Canis lupus familiaris: one gene and its partners. The protein of the gene in region 2 interacts with the protein of the main gene of each other region in a pairwise test. Links are inferred from orthologs where the notes say so. Each region holds a gene or a part of one and is shown on either strand. Other genes may lie near its edges. The genes, in order: SHC1, INSR and MAD2L1.

The links.
Region 1: the proteins of INSR (region 2) and SHC1 interact in a two-hybrid assay, tested with the Homo sapiens proteins (2 studies listed by BioGRID and IntAct). The link is inferred for Canis lupus familiaris from reciprocal best matches to the Homo sapiens genes INSR and SHC1.
Region 3: the proteins of INSR (region 2) and MAD2L1 interact in binary tests that used the Homo sapiens proteins (3 or more experiments, as listed by UniProt). The link is inferred for Canis lupus familiaris from reciprocal best matches to the Homo sapiens genes INSR and MAD2L1.

Annotation. Positions count from the first base shown.
Region 1 is NC_049228.1:42,491,452-42,494,398, reverse strand, and holds part of SHC1 (SHC-transforming protein 1), read right to left. Parts: intron 2,488-2,947; coding exon 2,424-2,487; intron 2,266-2,423; coding exon 2,146-2,265; intron 1,903-2,145; coding exon 1,849-1,902; intron 1,677-1,848; coding exon 1,625-1,676; intron 1,462-1,624; coding exon 1,335-1,461; intron 573-1,334; coding exon 374-572; intron 287-373; coding exon 217-286; intron 135-216; coding exon 3-134; intron 1-2. UniProt on the Homo sapiens protein: Signaling adapter that couples activated growth factor receptors to signaling pathways. Participates in a signaling cascade initiated by activated KIT and KITLG/SCF.
Region 2 is NC_049241.1:52,431,248-52,434,898, reverse strand, and holds part of INSR (insulin receptor), read left to right. Parts: intron 1-1,580; coding exon 1,581-1,710; intron 1,711-2,049; coding exon 2,050-2,184; intron 2,185-3,651. UniProt on the Homo sapiens protein: Receptor tyrosine kinase which mediates the pleiotropic actions of insulin.
Region 3 is NC_049239.1:56,411,302-56,414,968, reverse strand, and holds the start of MAD2L1 (mitotic spindle assembly checkpoint protein MAD2A), read right to left. Parts: upstream 2,816-3,667; 5' UTR 2,696-2,815; coding exon 2,623-2,695; intron 1,540-2,622; coding exon 1,393-1,539; intron 1-1,392. UniProt on the Homo sapiens protein: Component of the spindle-assembly checkpoint that prevents the onset of anaphase until all chromosomes are properly aligned at the metaphase plate.

The DNA of each region.
Region 1 (2,947 bases), on a different chromosome or scaffold from region 2:
ACTCATATCAAAGAGATCTCGGGGCACGCTGCCATTGATGGCAGGATTGGGGGGCCCAGCCCCACCCCCTGCTTGCCGGGCCCTGTCTAGGTTCTGGACATTGACGTAGGATGGATCATCAAAGAGCTCTTTACCTGATAAGGAAACAGAGGCATCACCGTGACCCCAGCCCTGCCTCCACACCCCTGACTCTGCCCTTCCCAGCTCCCTTCACACCTGGGCAGGGTGGTGGAGGTGGCATCTGTTTGCGAATTTCTGGGTCTCCCCCAACAGGCTGCCCCACAGGCTGCAGAAACAAAAATGAAATGAGACCAGAAGCCCAAATTGGCCACTCCCATCCCAGGCCCAGCCCACCTCCATCCAAATAACTTACCAGCGTTGCTCCCAGGTGGCTGGGGGTCTGGACAACGTGTGGGGTGGGCCGAACAGCCCCCAGGGGGGCTGCTTCCCGAAGCCTCATGTCCACCACTCCCCCAAGAGGGGGCTCCTTCCCCGGGAAGTCATTATAGTACTGGTGGTCAGGTGGCTCTTCCTCCTCCTCATCCCAAGCTGAGCCGTCAAAACCAGCCATCCTGAGAGGGACAGGAGGGAACAAGGGGGCACAGACAGTGGCCATGGACTGGGTACTTCCTGCAGGGTGGGCCTGAGTCTGGGCGTTTCCTACACACAGGCATTCTATCCCCCTGGCAGCCCTGCAAGGTATCTATACCCCCTTCTCCAGTGATACAGGTGAGATGAGGAGCAGAGGTGGAGACGTTTGCTTATTGTTTCACAATTAAACGGTGGCAGACCTGAATGGTAACATCAGATTTGATTTAAAGTTCATGTTCTCAGTTATTATGCTATCTCCCAAGAGGAAGGGGAAGCACACAGTAGAAAGAAGGGATGCACTCCAGAATATTTTAACCTCCTCTAAATACTCAGTAGCTACTGATCTAAGGTGGGAAAGAAAGGTCGAGATCTCAGGAAAAAAGACACCCTCCCTCACCCAAATTCCTGATGGCTCTATGGGCAAGAAAGTGAAAAAATAAGGACGGAGAAATGGTCAAGAAAGAGAGACAGGCCAGCAGTGAGGTGGCTGAGGACAGAAGGGCAGAGCAGCAGCACGGTGGCCTGGCATACGAGAGGAAGAGCGGGCCTGCAGAAGCAGGCAGGACCTGGCCAGACTTTCCTGACGGCCACAGGAAACGTAAGAATAGCAGGAAGTGGGAAACAGGCACACAGGTTATTTCCCCCTGACCCTCTCTGAGCTCAAGCGTGGGCAGTGGAGCAGACCTGCTTTCTCAGTTCCAGCTAGTGCCTAGGAGCTGCCCATACCCTGCGCACCCGCTCACCTGTCATGAGGGGTGACCAGCTTGGGCGGGTTCCTGAGGTATTGTTTGAAGCGCAACTCGAAGGCCTGGCCGATGGTGCTGATGACATCCTGAGCAAGCCCTTCGGGACATTCCAGGATATGACAGGCTGGGGGCACAGTAAAGGCAGTCAGTGAGTTCTGGTGGACTGCTGGGAGGAGGCGCGGTCAGGGGCCTCATCTTCCCAGCCGAAGCCCTACTTAGCTACCCAGGTCCTGCTCACCTGCCTCACGGACAGCCGGCCCCACCCAGCGCTCCCCACCACGCCTCACCTCTCTGATTCACCGGGTCTTTGGCAACATAGGCGACGTACTCAGCTGTGTCCTGGGGTGGGCAGGGTCAGAAGAAGCCACTTAGCTCCAGTTTCCAGCCCACCTCATTCCTGACCCCTACACATCCTGGTCCTTTCCAGACACCACTTGGACCCCAGCACACCCTCTTTCCAGACAGCATGGCCCCTACTCCTCCCCCACCTCCACCCTGTTCCCCAACTCACCGGGTCCCCACCGGACGCAAAGGAGATAGACTGCATGTGGTGGTTGGCGATGATCTGAGGGTTAGGGCAGGGTACAGAGAAGGAAGGGAATAACACAGGTCAGGCAGCCTTGGGGCCTTCCTGGGCACCCCCAGCCCGGGCCCGGAGCCCTGGAGTGTCAGTCCCACCCTTTTGGCTTCTTAGCCCAGGTCCTCCTATGCTCCTCCTTCCTTCCTGTCTTAGCTCCTGGCCCTGTGGCCAGGTCCCCGCTCCGCTCTCCCAGCAGTGTTTCTGGCCCCCTTGCCCAACCCCACCAACCTGTTTGCAGTCTGCGGCCATAAGGTTGAGGCTGCTGGTGGAGACGGTGAGAGTGATTGGCATTCCCGCAAATTTCAGATTACTCCTCCCCAGGATGGCACTGAGTGGGCGGCTACAGGGCTAGGGAAGGGCCCAGAGTCTCAGAAGTTGGGGGCTCCCCACACCACGAATCCCCCTCCCTCCGCCTTTTGGCCTTCCCCCCACAGGTCCCAGACTTATCTTCCCCCTGCTCCTCCACATTTCCCAGCAGTGCCCCCAGCCCCATCAGCCCCAGGTACCTTTCTCCTTCTTGTAGCCCCCTTGGCACCGGGCACAGCCTCACACACCAGACTGATGGCCTCCCTGGAGAGAAAGGGGTCCTCAGACCCACAGCCTGCCTCCCACTCAGCTGGGGCTGCCACAGGGCAGGGGGAGGGGAAGACCAGGCCAGACTTCAGGGGCACTCCAGGCTCTTTGTCATGGTGGATTGAATTAAAGGCCTTTAATATTTGATGACACGGAGAGGCCACTTCCTGGCTGATTGGGTTAGGGCCTCTGTGAGTCTGGCCCCACCTACTTCCAGCGACCAAATGTCCCATTCCATCCCAAAGGCAGCAGCAATCTTCCATCCACCCCATTTTATACTCAGGCTCCAGCTGCCAGCTGCCTCTGCCACCTCTCCCACCATACACAGGACTGGATAAATAAGAAGGTCCCAGACCAGAGAGGTGCTGCTTTTCATTCAGACTTAGACTGATTCCCCTAACTTTCTCTCAATCCTTTATCCCTGAAGGTAAGCCATCACTAGCAAGTGACCAAGACC
Region 2 (3,651 bases):
TGCTTTGAAGCATGTGGCCCAGGCCAGGTTCGATTTCGGAAGGGGTTGTCTGACCCAAGCAGCTCAGCTTTTTCCAGTAGTGCAGAGCGGGCCCCTGGTCCTCACACTGTAGTTTAATTGCATTTGCACGTGGGCGTGCGTGTTTACTGCTCTGCATAACTGTGTTCCCCGTCAGTGGAAGCCACCACTCTAGGAGCCCATAGATGTGACTGGCGATGGATAAGTCGCCACGATTTTCCTGCCCTCATGCAGGAGGTGCTCTTTATCTGCATCCCCCAGCCCCTGGGTAGCCCCTGGCCACCTGTGGCCATTTACATTTAAGGTAACTTAAATTAAATAGAATTGGAAATGTGTTCCTTGGCTGCACTGGCCACATTTCAAGCGCTCAGTCGCCACCTTGAGCCTGCTGGCTGCCATATCGGGCCATGTAAATGTAGACCGTGTTCATCATCATCACAGAACGTTCCACTGGACAGGGCCATTCAAGGGTGAACAGTAACATAGAGCTTGTATAAACAAGATAAGGAAGGCTGGGAAAGGAGTCCTGAAGGGAACACAGAGTTCCTTCGTAGAGAGGAGACACCTCTCTCTGCAGGGAGGCAGGCTTTGGGCCAAAACTTGTAGGATGAGTTGACCTGAATGACAGCATGCCAGGGGGCACTCCAGCATATGCCAAGGCCTGAGGCCAGAAGGATGGTTGATGTGGGGTGAATTTAGAGGAACGTGGAGGAGAACAGACCAGAATGAGATGTGAGGTTAGGGAGAGAGGCAGGAGGCAGACCTGGAAGGGCCTTATTAGTCAATTAGTCACCGAGGTATCATCCCAAGGAGCCAGTAGGAAGCTAGAAGTGATGTGATCCTATTTATGACCCCAAAACGACATTATCAGCAAGGGAAGCCAGAAGTGGTGGCATCCTCCTTATAATCCCCAAAGACCTCTTCCCTTAGCCATGGGAAACAAGAAATAGTATGATCCTGTAGCTTCTCTTGTGCAGTGGACTGTCCGGGTCAGGATGGGGGGAAGGTCCTGCAGGTGAAACTGGCAGTGAGCCTGGGGCGGGGCTGGAGTGATGGAGAGGAAGAGTTGGATTAGAGCAGGATGTGGAAGAAGAGTGGGTAGGACGCGCTGCTGTTGTAGATGTGGGTATGAGGAGAGAGGTCAAAAGGGGACCCAATCCTGGGTTTTAAGCTGGGCATCTGGGTGGTGGGGGGCCCATACCTAGCAGAGAAGAGCATGTTGGCTGCAGAGACCCAAAACTTCGGTTTGGGATAACTGCAAGGTCATGGGTGGGAAGGAAGTATTGCTGAGAATGGGATTCCCAGGCTGTGGGCCAGAATGTTGCTTCTTGGCCACTTGGTGCTTCCTTATCCTTCCCCTTACCTGGTGGTCCACTCTCTCCCTCTATTTCCCCATGAGTACCCTCAGAATCCATTCTCACTGGACTTGACCGCCACCTAGGTGAGCATACACCTGGGGCAGGTGAGCCCATCTGAAGGTTCTCCAAGGCATGGGGCAGTAAATATGGAGACACCTGGACTGTAGGCTAAGGGTTAAGACCATGTGAATCATTTGTTGTCAGACTTTGGGATGACCAGAGACATCTATGAGACGGATTACTATCGGAAAGGAGGCAAGGGTCTGCTCCCCGTGCGGTGGATGGCACCGGAGTCCCTGAAGGACGGGGTCTTTACCACTTCTTCTGACATGTGGTGAGTTGTGCATGGATTGGCGGACAGAATGCTGGGCTTGAATACCAGGTCCTCCCACCAGTGTGACCGGCAAGAGGGGGCCAGTTAAAACCCGCCTTCCTTCCTCATAGGCTCTTGATCCGGGAAGTGAAGGGGATGTCCTGTCTGAGGACCCTTGCACGGCTACTTGTGATCCGATTGACACTAATATAGGCATTTCTGAATGCAGCATGAATTGTTTAATTAACTGGCCAACCGCGTTCTAGGAAACCAAGAAAGGGGGCATGTGTTTGTGTGTGTGTGTGTGTGTGCGTGTGCTCTAATGGCTTTTTTGTTACTACTTTCAACTGTCGTTGGCAGGTCCTTTGGCGTGGTCCTTTGGGAAATCACCAGCTTGGCAGAGCAGCCTTACCAAGGCCTGTCTAATGAACAGGTGTTGAAATTTGTCATGGACGGAGGGTATCTGGATCAACCCGACAATTGTCCAGAGAGAGTGTAAGTGTAGAAAGAGTGCAGTGCGCGGGCTCTTCATCAAAAAGGCATCACCCTTTGGTTTGTGTGTCTTACGTCTACACGTGAGCTGGTGTTAGCATGTTGTGTCTTCGCATGGACACTTTTTTGCACATCATACTACATATATGCACGTCACATCTTTACACGTGTGCTGTCTTGCATATCATGTCTGTGGAAGGCTATAAAGAAACCCCACAGCAGTGGTTACCACGGGAGAAGGCAACTGGGTGGCTGGGGTGGGATATTTCTGCTTAACTGTCGATCCTTTATATACTTTACATTTTGTCAGGGAATTAATATAATCTGACATATCAATTATATCTCAACAGAATTGGGAAAAAAAATCATAAGCATAAACATTAGAATTATTTTTTGGTCAGGGAGATGTGTTACCTATCTCCCCACTCCCCCAATTTTTGTTGTAAATTTTAGTCATAGAAAAAACAATTTTTTTTGTTATAGGACCAAGACACACAAACAGGCCATTAAACACTTCCAGACTTGTCCAGTCTTACTAATAGTCTGATAAACATAAAGTAAAATGAAGGAAAATACTATCTTCCTAAATTAGCAAAAAAAGGGAAGGAAGAACAAAAGAAAAGAGAGCTTTAATACTCTGTGCTGGCAGTGGTTTGGCTAGATAATCCTTCTTATCCCCCTGTTGTTAATAGCTGCTCAGAGCAATGTTATTTTAAAATTGTATTTATTTATTTGAGAGAGCGAGAACACATGATCAGAGGCAGAGGGAGAAGCAGACTCCCTGCCAAATAGGGAGCCCGACATGGGGCTCGATCCCAGGACCCTGAGATCACAACCTGAGCTGAAGGCAGACACTTAACTGGCTGAGCCACCAGGTGCCCCTAGAGCAATATTATTTAAAGTCTCAAAAAGATTGAAGTGATCTAAATACCCAGCAACAGGAGAACTGCCAAGTAAATTTATAAATTAAAATGATGTAGCAATTGAAATTTTAAATGATGCTTATAAAAATATTTTACAACTTGGTGGATAAGCCTATGTTAAAATGTTAAGTGTAAAAAGTGTGCATCTATTGTTTCCAAATGTCTCCAGATAGAAAAGGCAAGAGGTGAGATCTGTAGGAGAGTTGAGTGCAAACTAAATTTTCTTCATGTTTTGGTTCTACGAGATTGTTTGCATATAATGTCCTTTATCAATGTTTCTTAAGAAAAAAGTTTCCCCTCCTGGAAAATTCAGGGGGAAAGACCATTTGGAGGCTTCATCCCCCAAAGAATAAGACTGTTAATTTAGAAAACTCGTTTGGAAGGGGACCTCATAGGAAAAAGTATGAAGCAGAGTTATTTAGAAACTCTGAGCAGTTATTTCTAAATGTTGCTTCTTGAAAGTCCTTTCCTAGCCATGAGCAGCTGCCTGTAGTTTCAGGACCAGGGAAATGAAGTAGGCCCTAGGGCAGGGGTCCATAAATTTTCT
Region 3 (3,667 bases), on a different chromosome or scaffold from region 2:
GAAAATATTCTTAGTTTGCAGGTAGTACAAAAATAGGCCACTTGCTGGATATGGGCGGTCAGTCTTGCTGACCCCTTGACAAAAATCAGCTTTTTCTCAATTTTGCTCTGAAAAGGAAGAGATTGGGTAGTCACTTAAAGATCTGGGGTGTGTGGAAATTTTTTTCTTTTAAAACTGAAGACAGATGAAACCAATGAAAATATCTCAAAACAAAGAAGTCAGAAATACCAGAGAAGAACTAGGGTAAAGTCCTTAGGAAGGCTAGAGTGATGGGGATTCAAAGAGATCGAACAATTTGCCTCTAAGAAGAGCAATTCCTCCATTCTAACTAAAAGGGACAAATTAAATCGGAAGGTTTAATTCACATACAACTCACATACAACTGAGGTGAAATGTCATCAGTGTAGTCTTAAAGGAGACAACCTAAAATCAGTAGCTTAGGCAGGGCTTGCTTCTTCATCAAATTAAGGTGACATAGATTCTTAGTTACTTCTATGTTTCAGGCTAAGTAATCTGAGTATAGCCCTGGGTGATTTAGCCCTGAAGATGATAAAAATATGATTAATAGAATTTAAAAAATAAAGCCCCTTGAAACAGAAAATATATATATGACTCAGGAATTAAAAAAAAATTACTGTAATTTTTTTGGGAACTAGTTTTGGAAGGTCAAATGAGGAGCCAGGGAGAAACATCCTATAACACAGAAAAATTAGAAGTGAGAATCCTAAGTAGAGAAAAAGATGGGGGGAAAAAAAGAATAGATGGAGAACAAGTATTCATTCAACAAGTATTCAGTAATTTCTTGAGCTAAGAAAAAACAGTGAGTGTTCAGATAGAAATGGCTAACTTACAGGCAGGATTTTAACAAAGACAATTGAAGACAGTAAGACATTAAAAAACTTTATTGGGTACTCTATTAGTAGTATTTTTTTTTTTTTTTAAGTTTAGTTCCCAGGCTGGATTCAATTTCATTTTATCTTAAAATAATGATGGTTTTAAACTCTAGGCAGCTATAGAAAATATATCATGTTAAAAATATATAGTGGATTTCTCTCCAATAATAAACATCATCATAGTTATGTAAAATTCCAACTTGTTCCACCTGGCTACACGAACTGCAAAAATCACTTCAAAGGGAGTTGATAGAGATTGTTTTGTGAAGCCAGATCAGATTTCTAACATCAAAGTATTTAGCCCACTCAAAATGTGGTAGGGAAGAGTGGACTTTCTTTCAACTTATTATTTGCTTCCTTCCGATTGAGAATCACTGTATTTGAAATTGCAGTGTTTTACACCTCTTTGTATAGCGCTGAAAAATGAACACCAAGATGCCAGAAAGTACGGGTCCAAGAAAGCCTGCAAAACTCAAAATGGTTTTCAACAATTAAATACCTTTCAGTTGTTCCACTACATTATTTAGGTATTTCATGAGCTCAGGATCAGTTGTTACAAGCAAGGTGAGTCCGTATTTCTGCACTCTGGTAAAGGTTTCAGATGGATATATGCCACGCTGATATAAAATGCTGTTGATGCCAAATGCTGAAAACAAAAGGAATGTTAAAGTCATTTTCACTTTGCAACTCTGGAAAATAAAACCTATTTAGATGTGGCTGCGGTTTCATTCCTGGTATCAAACTGAAAAAGCCTAAACGTGCATTTGTGGGTGTCTTGCTGAAAGCAGAGTAAGTGAAAAGTGCCACTGAAAATCCTTAAAAATGTTGCTTCTAAGTAAAAAGAACACGATACCTGCGTTTATGCGGAACTAAAAATGCCAAACTGCATTAACCTAGTGTCAAAGTAGAACTACAAGCTCACGGTAATGCAAGCCCCAATTCAGGTTATGTGATCACAGGGTGTCGAAATAGGCTTTTGCGTCTGGATTAGCAACTGATTAACCGGTCCAATGTTCCAAAGCAAGCCTCTCCCTCACTTTTCCCTCCTCTTCTCCTACCAGATTCCATCAGAGGGTACAAACATGGCCTGGTCCAGGACAGAGTTTCCTAAATCTAGTCCATCGCCGTCAGTACCGGGGTCAAAGCTTGGTGGAAGGGCTATTCAAGATATACTGGGGCCCCACCCCGCTCGGGGTGGGCGTAGGCGTGGGGCTGGGGCCGGGCTGGGAAGCGTGTCGGATCCGCCGTTTAAAGCAAGGCTGCTGGGATCCCTGGTGGCGCAGCGGTTTAGCGCCTGCCTTTGGCCCAGGGCGCGATCCTGGAGACCCGGGATCGAATCCCACGTCGGGCTCCCGGTCCACATCGGGCTCCCGGTGCATGGAGCCTGCTTCTCCTTCTGCCTGTGTTTCTGCCTCTCTCTCTCTCTCTCTATCATAAATTAATTAATTAATTAATTAAAAAAATTTAAAAAAAAATAAAGCAAGGCTGCTGGTGGAGGGGCCGCAGCGCCAGGCGGGCCTCGGCAGCACCTGGGCTTCCTGCTCCACCAGGAGCGAGGCGCCCGGGGGTGGCGCCTGCATCCGCCTCCTCCTAGATTAGATTCTCCAGCCCGGCGGGCGCTGGAGCAAAGAGAGCCGACCCCGACCCCCGCCTCCGTGGCCGGGCCGGGCCTCCAGGGCGGCCTGGCCTCAGCTCTCCCCGCCCTCTGGCCTGCGCAAGGGGGACTTACAGAAGAACTCGGCCACGATTTCGGCGCTCCCGCGCAGGGTGATGCCTTGCTCCCGGGAGAGCTGCAGCGCCATGGCCAGGCCTAGGGACGAGGGAGCGCGCTGCTGCCCGGCGGACGGCGACGCCACAGCCTCCAACGGAAGTTCCCCGCCAGTCGTTTCAAAAGTAACGACGCAGCACGCCAGGGGCCCTCCGCGCAGGCGCGACGAGCCTCCCGGCAGGCCCAGCGCCAGTCTCCTCGCTCGCGGGAGGGGCGCCTCGCGCAGGCGCAGTGGGTAGGCGTGGTCAGGCACTTCCGGGTTGTCGGGCACGGAAGGGTCCCTACCGAGCACCTGTAATTGTGGTCGCCGGGTCGCAGCTGAGGCGAGACGACCGCAAAACCTGGCTTTGACGCCCGCTCCCGAGGCCTGCGGAGTGAGCAGCCCAGGATCCCGGTTCGTCAGTTTCAAAGCTATTTTCAGAGTGATGTGAACGCGCCAGTTGCATCTTAACGTGGCCCAGGGACCCCGCCCACTCCCTAGTGGGCGATTGAAACTTGCTTAGATACTCTGGGAGTCAGTCAAGAAACCGCGTGCGTGGCGGTCCAGCCACAGCTTGAGAAGGCCTGGTGACTGTGTGCGGGCGCAGCTGTTAAGGAACTGGGGGGCAGACCCGGTGGCTCGGCGGTTTGGCGCCGCCTTCTGCCAGGGCGTGATCCTGGAGACCCGGGATCAAGTCCCACGTCGGGCTCCCTGCGTGGAGCCTGCTTCTCCCTCTGCCTGTGTCTCTGCCTCTCTCTCTCTCTCTCTCTCTCCTCTCTGTGTATTCTCATGAATAAATTAATAAAATCTTACACACACACAAAAAAAAGAAATTGGGGGGGGCGGCCCTGGTGGCCCAGCAGTTGAGCGCTGCCTTCAGCCCGGGTGTGACCCTGGAGACCAGGGATGGAGTCCCTCCAGCCCTAATCCCTAAAGCCTAAACCCTAACCCTAACTCTAAATCCTGGACCTGGTAAATCTGGTCCCCATCTGGCCTCACCCAGTCCTGGTGACTTTGGTCCCCACC